Callithrix jacchus: one gene and its partners. The protein of the gene in region 1 interacts with the protein of each later gene in a pairwise test. Links are inferred from orthologs where the notes say so. Each region holds a gene or a part of one and is shown in the gene's direction. Other genes may lie near its edges.

Region 1 (4,148 bases):
CCTAAAAATAATAGTGGAATTAAATATTCCTTTCAAGGTCTTCCCTCCATGCTTCCCAAGAGTGCAGTTCGCTTTTCAAGACCAACTGGGAATATGTATTTTCAATGTATATGGTTAAAAGATAGACACATGCACAAATATAGACACATACAGAAATGAGAATTACTTCAGAATTGGTGTTAACTTTACAAAAAAAGAACTTACTCTTTGAATTTACAAATTTCTTTATAAAATAGAAGCACTGGTGGACTTCTAATTTATAAACAAATTTGTAAATACAAAGAGTAAGTTCTTTTTTGATACCTCACTTCTAAAGTAAGGTATAAAATTCAAAAACGTATCCATGCTTCTCAAGGATTTTATTGTAGGCCACTCTAATTCCATATGCTATGTGGCTCTTCCTAGACTTTCTACACTAGCAAACAGACTGAATGCAAATTTTGTTTGGTGTTAACAACCTTCTTCTCAGAAGCATATGCTTATCGAGAAAGTCTGGGGTTAACAAGGATAAATAATTCCAAACAGGTCTATGAGATTTAAGATGTGAAAGATCAACATTATCTTTAGCTGATTTTACTGGATGCCACAAACTTCTGATTTCCGTAACCAGTTCTTGTTCCTCTTCTCCACTAAGACAAAATCAGAGGCAAACAGAACTTCACCCTAAGAGAAACTGGGGAAAGCGGGGAACAGGTTTTCTCCGCAAAAGTTTATTTGTTTCTCATTTCTTTTTCAGAAAATAGAGGATCGCTGTTGTTTCCAGCAGGTTGGTTGGGAAGAAAATTGGAAAAACATTATTACCGTTTCTTAGATGTTAGCAACAAGGACTGCAAAAGAAGATTGTGTGTCCCCTACTCTCAAATAGTCAAAATTGTCAGTAGGGATGAAAGAGCATTGGGGTTTCAGGGTTGTTAGGGTTTCATCAAGCCAATGTATTCCCTGCCAGATTATAAGGAGAAAAAAGAGCTGGAAAATAGAGTGATGTTAGCCCCCTTTCTTATTTTCACTGCTGCCAAAAACTAACTCTGTCTCTCTCCCCAGTCCTTCTCTCTCTCTCCCTCCCTTAGATGTGTTTGCACGGAAGAGTGTCCAGTGAGGAGACCGATTCCTTGGATCGCTTTGCGCAAAATCCACCCCTTTTCTCTCCTCCCTCCCCTCCAGCCTCCAAATCCCTCTTGGCCCACCCTCCCCTCCCGCAGCCGCCTGGGGTCGGGGATGAGCCTCCGTGAACTACTAAGGTGGGAGGGGGCTATAGGCAGAGGAGAATGTCAGATGCTCAGCTCGGTCCCCTCCGCCTGACGCTCCTCTCTGGCTCCGCCAGGACTGGCCTCTGTAAGAAATAGCAAGAGCTGTGGCAGCGGCGAAAGGAAGCAGCTGAGGCGCTTGGAACCCGAAAAGTCCTAGTGCTCCTGGCTACCTCGCACCGCAGTGCCCGGCCGACCGTCAGCACCATGGACAGCAGCGCAGTCCCCGCGAATGCCGGCAATTGCACTGATCCCTTGGCGCCCTCAACTTGCTCCCCAGCGCCCAGCCCTGGTTCCTGGGTCAACTTGTCCCACTTAGATGGCAACCTGTCCGACCCCTGCGGTCCGAACCGCACCGACCTGGGAGGGAGCGACAGCCCTTGCCCTCCGACTGGCAGCCCCTCCATGATCACGGCCATCACCATCATGGCCCTCTACTCCATCGTGTGCGTGGTGGGGCTCTTCGGAAACTTCCTGGTCATGTATGTGATTGTCAGGTAAGGAAGGGGCTCCAAGTGGAGGATTCAGAGGCTCATGGGGGTACAAAGAGACACCTGACCCCCAGGGCTCAATCTTGGGCGGGAGGATGAAAGAGGGGAGGTAAACCGGGGAAACTCTAGAGGCGACCATGGACAGTGATTGCTACTTCTGTATTTCCCCAATTGCTACAGAAATACTCCAAAATTTCAGAAGCAGAGAAGTTGCTTTGGTAAAAGCTACAAAGGTCTAGGGGTGGGGGTGAAGATAAGTGTAGACTTAGAGCTCTTCCTTATTCTGAGCAAAGAGGGCTCTTGTCAGAGTCCTACACTCAGTCCCTCTGCAGGAGCTATGGAAAGAGTAAGTTGTGAAAAATGACAGAGAAATTCTAGAAATTCTAGTTAGCTTTCCCAAATTTGGTTGAGGGGCGGGTTGGAGTGGGTGGTAGGTTGCAAGTCTTCTCAGTTGTTTTGAGATGAACCCTGGCAACTTTCCTACTTCTGCTGGTTCAGTACTTCCCTGTACCACAACCCCACCCTTCCTCCTCCCCTGCTGTAGCAGCCCTTAACTAACTCTTCCTTTCATCCTGAGGCAACACTAGATAAAGGAAGTTTTCCTGGCATCTCTCCATGGTAGTTTTGCTCTTTTATAACAAACATGACAGCTGTGTTGCTTAGATTAGTTTGCTGTTGGTAGCTTCAGATCGCCTAAGTCACAAACTGCATCTGGAATGGGTAGGATGGTTCAGGAGAACCGCAGGGCATGGCTGTATTTCAATGCCTCCACAAGTTGGAGTTAATTAGGAGTCACCAAAAGCACCATAATTCCACATTAGAAACTACAGAAACTCTCATACAGGAAGTTGTGATGGTGCTGTAAACAAAGTGTTCTTATCAGGTAAAATTAATTCAAAAGAATTGTGGTCCACTTTCTGTTTACCTAGATGTTCCACCTATATTTGGCAGAGTGTGCAAGCTCTCAATATTGATTGTGATTGATGCTGATTGTGTTGGTGTTTACCTGTATATTCAAATACTACATGTGAATGTGAAATGGCATGTATCTGTTTTTGTTAAAGAAGAATAATATTTTAACACTTTAAAATGGTTCCTAGATAGATGTTTTTTGTTTTTTGTTTTTAACCAGGGGTATGTGTATGTAGAGAACATGGCATTTTCACTTTTAGTTACAATATTTGTTTCACCTATTCAGCAAGTATTGCAGGTTTGAGAGGAGCTCTTAAATCATTTAACAATTGCTCTCCCTGGTATGCTTTTATTACCAAGATGCTGCAAATTGCTTGTAAGCAATTCTTTCCACTCATGTGTCTGATTTCTTTAATTAATGATTTTTAAAGAATAAAACTAATTTCTCTGATCTTTTCATGAGGAATAAGATAAGTATTGTCTCTGAGAAAAGAGCACCATCTATTGAGAGGAAGGCTAACAACAGAAGGAAAAATGTGAGAAGATAAATGGAAGAATTTATTTTTAAAAACATTTACTTTAAGTAATTAAATACAATGATTCACATTAAAGATTAAAAACCAAGTCTCACTCTGCAGTTATGATGACAAAGTTATAATTAAAGGCCTGCTTTGTGAAAAGAAAATATATTTCTCATTTGTTCTATAAGAATTTCATAGAATCATAAACTAATCAAGGTACAAGGGACTCTAGAAATTATGTGTGCTAAGTAAACTGAGGAACAGAACATGTAAATGATTTTCTCCAAGAACAGATAGTTCATTAATTCATTGCCATTGAATCTTTCCCAGCTAATGTAATTTTGAGTTTATTATGCTGGCAAATCATGATTTGAGTTAATTCAACTATTAGGTTGACAGAGTGGATTGATATAGCAATAATAACTTGGGAATAGCAAATGATCCCCAAATTCTGTATGGAATCCTGGAGGGAAAAAGCATGAAACAGAAATTACCAAAGCATCTAGGAATCCTGCCATCAGAAACATAATATTTTATTCCTTTTTATTGCTTCTCCTTGGTATTTTCCTTCCTCATTTTTCTCCTCATTAATTTATGCTTTCATATACAGAGAGAGCCAATAGACTGGCAACTGGCTGTGAAATGAGCAGATAGGTCTTCTTCCAGTATAGAAGAGATTTGGGTGAGTTAGTTTTAAAGGCATTACCTCTGGCCTCTTGTTGACTTGGAGAAAGATGGTGACAGTGCATCTTACTGAGAACATGATATTATGCTTTATTCTCAGTACTGAAAGTTCTTACAAAATACAGTACTATTTGAAAGGTCATCCCAGACACCCACCTGTGGCAGACTGGGTTTGAATTGCAGGGTCAGGTAATCCTCTCAGAATGTGACCGTGAAACAGAAAAATGGGCAGGTTAGTGACAGATGAAGTGACAGGGAAAGCATCTGGGGATTGGAGTAAGTATGTCTATTTAGCT
Region 2 (3,648 bases), about 140 Mb from region 1:
TTCAGAATATATTTTTTATAAGACATTTATTCTTTTGGTATTCATGGAAACTTTTTAATCAGTTTATATACTAATATCTCTACAATGTTACTGATTTTATTCTCTCAACAAAAAGTAATTTACTCCACTAAACAAATTAAAAACAATTGATGACACATATAGAATTGTATTTCTGTCTGAATTAATTGGATGGAGGAAATAAAATGATAGGTCATCTAGGCTAGGTTAATTCATTTGCTTTTCTTAGTAATAGGATTTCTGTACGTTACACAATTTAACTTTTAATAATGTTAATGCAAAAGATAAAGTTGAGAGATAATCTAGATTTTATAATTAGGATCTGTGGTTTTTGGACATGAACTTGGCCATGCCCAAGCTCTTAATATTTGAACTAACAGCAGTATAAGTATAGACTTAAATTTTTAATAAATACCATTAAATTTAAAAAGTCCTTTTCACTATTATAATCCAAGCCAAGAAAATAGCAGACTTTCAGATGCAATTGGTCTAACACATGTCATCTTAAATGTCCTTATAATTGCTTTGAATATTCTTAACTTTAAAATTGTCATAAAATTTTGGGGGTATTTTGTTAGAAAAGGCAGTGATTAAGAGACATGATGATGACTGTGAAAGCACACTTCTTCCCTAGAACTACAATCATTTGTATTACAGAGCTTGAACACTCGTTTTTCTGTCCAGCTCAGAGAACAGACAACCCTGATGCAGAATCCCATGGTCACCATGAGCTGAAGCTCTAGGTTGGGTTGTTCTGGCGCCACATTGTTTTAATGCTCTCACTGAGCGTCATGGCAGGGTCATAGAAAACATTGATTTTAATCTTACAGCCAGGATCCTCCCACTTCTTCACTGAATTGTTACTTACCATGAACTCTTGAGAAGTCCATTCTAAAAGGTCCCCTCCCTCTTAAATTAATTTGAACAATTGGATAAAATAAGATGCAGATTTGTTTCTTAGACTTTTTTCCCTGCTTCCTCTCCACTTCTCCTCAGTCTCCTCCTGGTGAACCACTGCTTCCCACCATTTTCTAACTAGCCTGTGTAGTGTCAGATGGAGGCAGGTTTAAGAGTTGAATGTTTGGAGATAACAGATACTTGGGTTAATATTGTTGGATCACCAGTTTTTCTAACCACATTTTGTGGGTGGTAGATACATGTTTTGACTACCTGGTACCTTTTAAAAAGATTATTGTCTTGGAAATATGTCACTTACATGTAAATCATATTTGATAAATCTCTTGGGCAAACCATAGTAATTGATTTAGACTAGAAGGCTGGTTCTTCCTTTAACTAGGCTTTATAGACATTGTTCTGGATTCACCTTAGTATTCTGTACTTACTTTGTGATCCCATCTTATTTAACTGGTATGTAAAGAAAATTATCAAACTTTGGAACGTTAACATTTAATCTTTTACTTTAAAGTTGATTATTTTACAGAATGCCAGCAATTACTGGAATAAGTCATATAATAAAAGCAAAATGAAAATTACGGTTAGTAGGGCTGAATAATAGGATAGGAAGGGAACTGGGGGTAATGATAATCTAAGAATCAAAAAAAAGGTCACTTAATGTCCTTGATTCTCAAGTAATATTTATTTTAGGAGGGTACTCTCAATATGGGATTTCCGTTATCTTTTTGAAAATACTACATGAATACAACAAATGATGTTTTTCAAAAGCTTACTTTAAAGGTGAGGTTCTTAACAACACCTTGTTTCAAGAAAATAGGTTCGTTTTTGTAACACCAGAGTAGACCTTGTTTATGTAAATTGTAGTATGAAGCATGTATTCTCTTCACTAAAAGATGTATGTTTCTTCTGTTTTATTTTAAGAATGGTTTCATCTTATTTAGTCCACCATGGGTACTGTGCCACAGCAGAGGCCTTTGCCAGATCTACAGACCAGACCGTTCTAGAAGAATTAGCTTCCATTAAGAATAGACAAAGTAAGGACACTGTGGTGCATGCTAACATTTGTTTTCAGATTATAGATTGGGTTGCTTTAATTTTTAGAAATTTTATTTTCTTAATTTAAATAATTTCAAGTATATTTAAAATGGATGCCTCTGAATTTTATTTTCACTGACATTTTTGAAGATCAGCCTTAAAAATTCACATAGGTCTGTGTCAGAATTCTAATTCTAGAGAGATTTTGCAGAAATTTTCGTAAGGAATGTCTTTACCATTTTTTTCTTAAAAGAATGTTTTCTTAAACTTTCAGAAAAAAACTAAAATTTTTTAAAAATAAGTAGTTCTGATTAGTTGGAGGAGATAATATGTGAAAGAAAGGTAAGTATCTTTGAATTTAAGTTGCTATCTAATATAAGATAGTATTGATCATACGTATTTATTATTTAGATCCTAGTGCTGGCCTGTGTGGCCAAAGATAAAACAGGCCCTATAATAACAATGGCAGGTTAGCATAACTGTTCCATGGTTAGCCATCCTAAAATTGGTGCTGTATTCCATCAGGGTTGGTATGACTTGACAAGAGGGGGATGAAAACAAAACAGATGGGTGAAATAGGTGGATGAAAACAACCGTTTCATAGATCAAATCGCTGTAATAGCACTGATTACATTGTATTGTAGTTAATTGTGTGCTATCCTTTTCTACTATTTTAATAAGCTCTGTTGAACAGAGATCACTTAACTCATTTTGTATCCTCATCTAATTTAAAAAAGGTCAGATCAAGTGAATGCTCAGTGAATCTCTGTTAAATTGGAATCTTATTCAAAAGCTAGCATTTTTTTAGTCTTTTGTTCAGAAAGTCATATTTGATAAAGCATTTTATTATCTCTTTAAAACATAGTCTTTTTAATCTGTGTTTGAAACTTCAGTATTGCATAATATGTGTTTTAATTATATTACTTGTGTGTTTGTGATTTTTTTTTTTTAATTTGTGACAGTATGTTTTTTTCTAATTTTTTAGTATGTCTGAAATGTTTCCTGGATTGCCTAATGGAAACTATGATGTTAGAAAAAGAAATAGAAATTAATCATAATTTATTTGCAGATTTTTACTAACTCCCTTTTCTGAGGATCCACTAAGTTTATGTTTTACCTACCTTTGTAAAAGTTAATCGTTTGCTTTCTATTACTGAATAGGAATTCAGAAATTGGTATTAGCAGGAAGAATGGGAGAAGCCATTGAAACAACACAACAGTTATACCCAAGTTTACTTGAAAGAAATCCTAATCTTCTTTTCACCTTAAAGTGAGTTTGCATAATAAAATGCTATATTTGTTATGTGTTATAAATATTTGTCATATTTTATATAATAAAAGATATATTTCATGCTTTTGTAATTTTAATTTTCCCCCTTTACAAATATATGTAATTTTGTAATGTACATTTATTTATTTACTTATTTTTATTGCATTTTAGGTTTTGGGGTACATGTGCAGAACATGCAAGATAGTTGCATAGGTACATACATGGCAGTGTGTTTTGCTGCCTTCACCCCTTCACCCACATTTGGCATTTCTCCCCATGCTATCCCTCCCCAGCTCCCCCACCACTGTCCCTCCCCTATTCCCCCCAATAGACCCCAGTGTGTAGTACTCCCTTCCCTGTGTCCATGTGTTCTCATTGTTCATCACCCGCCTATAAGTGAGAATATGCGC
Region 3 (4,079 bases), on another chromosome or scaffold:
TGCAGGGAAATGTGGGGTTCCCGGGACGTTTCCCAGGTGGAAAGGCCAGGTTGTGGTAACTGTTGTCTTGGTTGATCCCAGCTTCTTCATCCTCTGGGGAAGAGACCAAGTTATTCGAACCTCCTAATTTGAGGAAGAGGTCAGAGCAGGGTGAGGGCAGCCTTGACGTCACTCCCCAGCCCTCCCCTTGCTCCTCCCTCTTCCCAGCAGACTGAATTAGAAAGGCTTTGGGAGAGCTGGGGCCAGCCCCAGGAGAGAAACTCGGGAGCGAGCAGAGCTGCAGTGGGGGCGTGGTGAGAACCAGCCTTCAGGAGCCTTGGTTCTCATGCCCTCAAGGGTCAGAACTAAGTGGGGCAGTTGTTAGCTTCAGAAATCCAGGAGACTCAGTTCAGCCTGGCCCTGAGGAAGAAGCCTAGAGGGGAAGCCAGCTCAGCCGGACCCCCCCAGAAGTAGCCATCCCTGAAGTTCTCAGGTCTGAGTGTCCCCACTCCCTGCCAAAGACGTCCTCTGTTCTGAAGACAGAACCCTCAGGGACCCAGCCCTGGGGCCCAGGGAATCCAAGGACTGAATCCTGTTTTGGAGGAACAGGGACTTTTGCGCCACCAGCATCCCCCGCCCCGCCAGTAGCCCCCTGCCACCTTCCCTTTCCTCAGTTGTGCCAGCCCCTGCCACCCTCCAAGAACAACCAACAGGTCCTTTTTGTTACAGTATCACAATGTTTTTAGCCTCCACTCACTTGAAAAACTTTATCTACCACCATTACACGATGTGCTTTGATGATGGTACACACTATATGCCATCAACCCTACAGAGTAGATTCTATTACTATCCTCATTCTGTAGAGGAAGAAATTGAGGCACAGGGATTTGAGTAACTTTCCTAAGGGTACAGGAGTCAACAGCAAAGTCTCAACTCCTGGGCTCAGCCACCAACAAAGTCTCAGCACTGAGGGTAGTGGCCACCATCTCGGGACCCCACAGCTCCAGGCCCTAGAGCCACGCTCATGCTGCCTCTCTACCTAGAATGCTCATCCCCTCCACTTGGCTAATGGAGAGGGAAGGGCATTTCCTCTCCTCCAGGAAATGTTCCTAACCAAGTCCCCTGGGAATCATCCAGTGCCTCTCAGGAGAACTTCCCACATTTATCATTTTACCATTATCCAAGGGCTGATATGCTCAGTCCCTGCACCAGCAGCCAGTGAGGGAGGAGGCCAGAGAGCAGGTTTGGCTGGTTCATCATGGTAATCCCGGGTCCCCATGCAGCATCTGCAGCACAGCAGACCCTCATTGATGTTCATCCACCTGTGATGCCTGAATGCTGGCTCTATGTAGCCCCTTCATTCCTAGGGATGTCCCTGCACCACCCGGCCACCATTTACAGGCATGAGAATGGAGTCTAAGCTAAAGGTCAGGCGGTTCCCCACCCCCCCCACCCCCCCACCCCCCACCTCACCCCACCCCCCCACCCCCCCCACCCCTGTCTCAAGGAGTCCATGGGAGTTGCTTAATGGCCTCTGATTGTGAAGCCTGCCCAGGCATGGAGATGTTTGAGAATTCTGGAAGGACAAGGGCTAGGTGTAGGCAGAGACCCCAGCTCTACCACAGATGCTGGAAGTGTGAATTACAACCCCTGTCCCCCGTTGTGGCTCTCCACGCCATAATCAGCCTGGATCACCTCATCCTGGCACACTAGAGCCACCTAGCAAATGAGGGGTCCCCACACCCCAGCCCCATCCGCCCACCCTCACAGGCCCCCAGGCCAGTAGCCCAGATCAACAGCTTTTACCGCAACCCTTTCAAAACCAGCCACCCTGAGAGATCCTGGCCTGGGAGAACTCCCCTTCCCCCGCCAAAGAAACTACAGAAGGAGAGTTTACCGTCTGGAATACCTGGTGGAGAAAGAACGGAGGAGAGGAGGGGTAGGTCAGCCCCTCTTGCCCCCACCCCAAATCACAGGGCCACCTCCCCAGAGTGGGTTTAGGGAGTCTGCACCTCCCTGTCCCCGCCCCCGCCCTCTCTCCAGCGCCCGCCGCCCTCCCCGTCACGTTTCCTGCCCCCACCCCGCCCCTCTGCGTTATTTAAGGCGCCCCCGCCGCCCGCGCGGTCCTGCAGGGCTCCCGCGGGCGCCGTTCCGGCCACCGTCCCCACCTCCACCTGGGCCGCCCGGCAGGCAGGCGGTGAGTCGCGAGGTAGGAGGGGACCGGGGACGCCACCTGCTCGCGGGAGGCCGGGCGGAGTCTTGGGTCCTCCGAGGCCCGGACGGGGGTTGCTGCGGAACGCAGCAACTACAGAGCCGCGCTCACCCAGGTGGCCTTGGCCAGGCTCCCACCCTCTTTCCGTGGAATCCTTATAACAACTGGAGGCGGTGGGGATACTATTGTTTCCACGCTACCGTGGAGGAGACTGAGGCGCCCAGAGGTTTGTTCCTTATCCAAGGGGCCGCAGTTACTAAAAGCCAAGATTTGAACCCAGGGCTGCTTCCAGAGCCTGGCTCGAACAGCTTTGCACCTGGGAAGAGGCACTTCCCCCTTGGGAACTCTGTGGCCTGTGCCTCACCCTGCTGTGACGATTCCTTTCAAGAGTCTAGAATTTGGCAGCATCAGCTTTGGGGGGGAGGAGGTGGGAGTGGAGGTGGAGGAAGAAGACCATGGTCATTATTGCTGACAGGTGGAGCTAAAGGATGCTGCTGCCTTCAGCTTCTAAAAACTCTTCCTCCTCCCATCCCCTGTGGCTCAAAGATTAGAATAAAGCCAGCTGGGTAAGATATGAAGCTGGGAGCAAGGACCTGAGGCTTTGAGCCCCCAAGAAGCAGAAGATAACACCTCTACCAACAGCACCAGCCCCGCTCTCTGAGGGTAGCCAAACTTGGGCAAAAGGGAGGAAGGGCATAGCCCAGCTGCATAGCCTTGGATAAGTTCCTCAAATTCTGTTCCCATAGGCAAAGGAGCCTCAACTCCACCCAGATTTCCTTGGCCTGTGGCCATCCTGGGGCGGTGGCTCAGGGACAAGAGGGACATAGATGTGTGATTAGGCAGAGCCCTTAGCCATAGCAGAATGATACCATGCAAAGAGGTTGGCAGCCATCATCCAGAAATCTGCTTTGAGTCCTGCCTGCACTGCTGAGTAGGAGCCCCCAGGCTGGTCCTTCCCCTTCCTGAGCCTGGGTTTCTTTGTAGGTAGGACGGGTGAGGCAGACCTCCCTTCTTGTTGCTGGGCAAACGAGAAGAATGTCATGCTGACATGCTGACACGCTCTGTCTCCTTGCAGACGGAGGCCCAGGAGCCATGGGTGACTGGGGCTTCCTCGAGAAGCTGCTGGACCAGGTCCAGGAGCACTCCACCGTGGTGGGCAAGATCTGGCTGACAGTGCTCTTCATCTTCCGCATCCTTATCCTGGGACTTGCCGGCGAGTCAGTGTGGGGTGACGAGCAGTCAGATTTCGAGTGTAACACGGCCCAGCCGGGCTGCACCAACGTCTGCTATGACCAGGCCTTCCCCATCTCCCACATCCGCTACTGGGTACTGCAGTTCCTCTTCGTCAGCACGCCCACCCTGGTCTACCTGGGCCATGTCATTTACCTCTCTCGGCGAGAAGAGCGGCTGCGGCAGAAGGAGGGAGAGCTGCGAGCACTGCCGGCCAAGGACCCACAGGTGGAGCGGGCACTGGCGGCTGTAGAGCGTCAGATGGCCAAGATCTCGGTGGCAGAAGATGGTCGCCTGCGCATCCGTGGAGCACTGATGGGCACCTATGTGGCCAGCGTGCTCTGCAAGAGCGTGCTAGAAGCAGGCTTCCTCTATGGCCAGTGGCGCCTGTATGGCTGGACCATGGAGCCTGTGTTTGTGTGCCAGCGAGCGCCCTGCCCCTACCTCGTGGACTGCTTTGTCTCTCGCCCCACGGAGAAGACTATCTTCATCATCTTCATGCTGGTGGTTGGACTCATCTCCCTGGTGCTTAACCTGCTGGAGTTGGTGCACCTGCTGTGTCGCTGCCTCAGCCGGGAGATGAAGGCACAGCAGGGCCAAGATGCACCCCCAACCCAGGGCACCTCCTCAGACCCTTACACGGACCAGGTCTTCTTCT

What was found.
Region 2: the proteins of OPRM1 (region 1) and RANBP9 interact in binary tests that used the Homo sapiens proteins (3 or more experiments, as listed by UniProt). The link is inferred for Callithrix jacchus from reciprocal best matches to the Homo sapiens genes OPRM1 and RANBP9.
Region 3: the proteins of OPRM1 (region 1) and GJA4 interact in binary tests that used the Homo sapiens proteins (3 or more experiments, as listed by UniProt). The link is inferred for Callithrix jacchus from reciprocal best matches to the Homo sapiens genes OPRM1 and GJA4.

Annotation. Positions count from the first base shown.
Region 1 is NC_133505.1:160,798,323-160,802,470, forward strand, and holds the start of OPRM1 (mu-type opioid receptor), read left to right. Parts: upstream 1-1,260; 5' UTR 1,261-1,451; coding exon 1,452-1,741; intron 1,742-4,148. UniProt on the Homo sapiens protein: Receptor for endogenous opioids such as beta-endorphin and endomorphin. Receptor for natural and synthetic opioids including morphine, heroin, DAMGO, fentanyl, etorphine, buprenorphin and methadone.
Region 2 is NC_133505.1:17,024,122-17,027,769, forward strand, and holds part of RANBP9 (ran-binding protein 9), read left to right. Parts: intron 1-1,854; coding exon 1,855-1,967; intron 1,968-3,129; coding exon 3,130-3,238; intron 3,239-3,648. UniProt on the Homo sapiens protein: May act as scaffolding protein, and as adapter protein to couple membrane receptors to intracellular signaling pathways. Acts as a mediator of cell spreading and actin cytoskeleton rearrangement.
Region 3 is NC_133508.1:71,355,411-71,359,489, forward strand, and holds the start of GJA4 (gap junction alpha-4 protein), read left to right. Parts: upstream 1-1,177; 5' UTR 1,178-1,918; intron 1,919-2,107; exon of another isoform or gene 2,108-2,417; intron 2,418-2,606; exon of another isoform or gene 2,607-2,854; intron 2,855-3,264; exon of another isoform or gene 3,265-3,266; 5' UTR 3,267-3,283; coding exon 3,284-4,079. UniProt on the Homo sapiens protein: One gap junction consists of a cluster of closely packed pairs of transmembrane channels, the connexons, through which materials of low MW diffuse from one cell to a neighboring cell.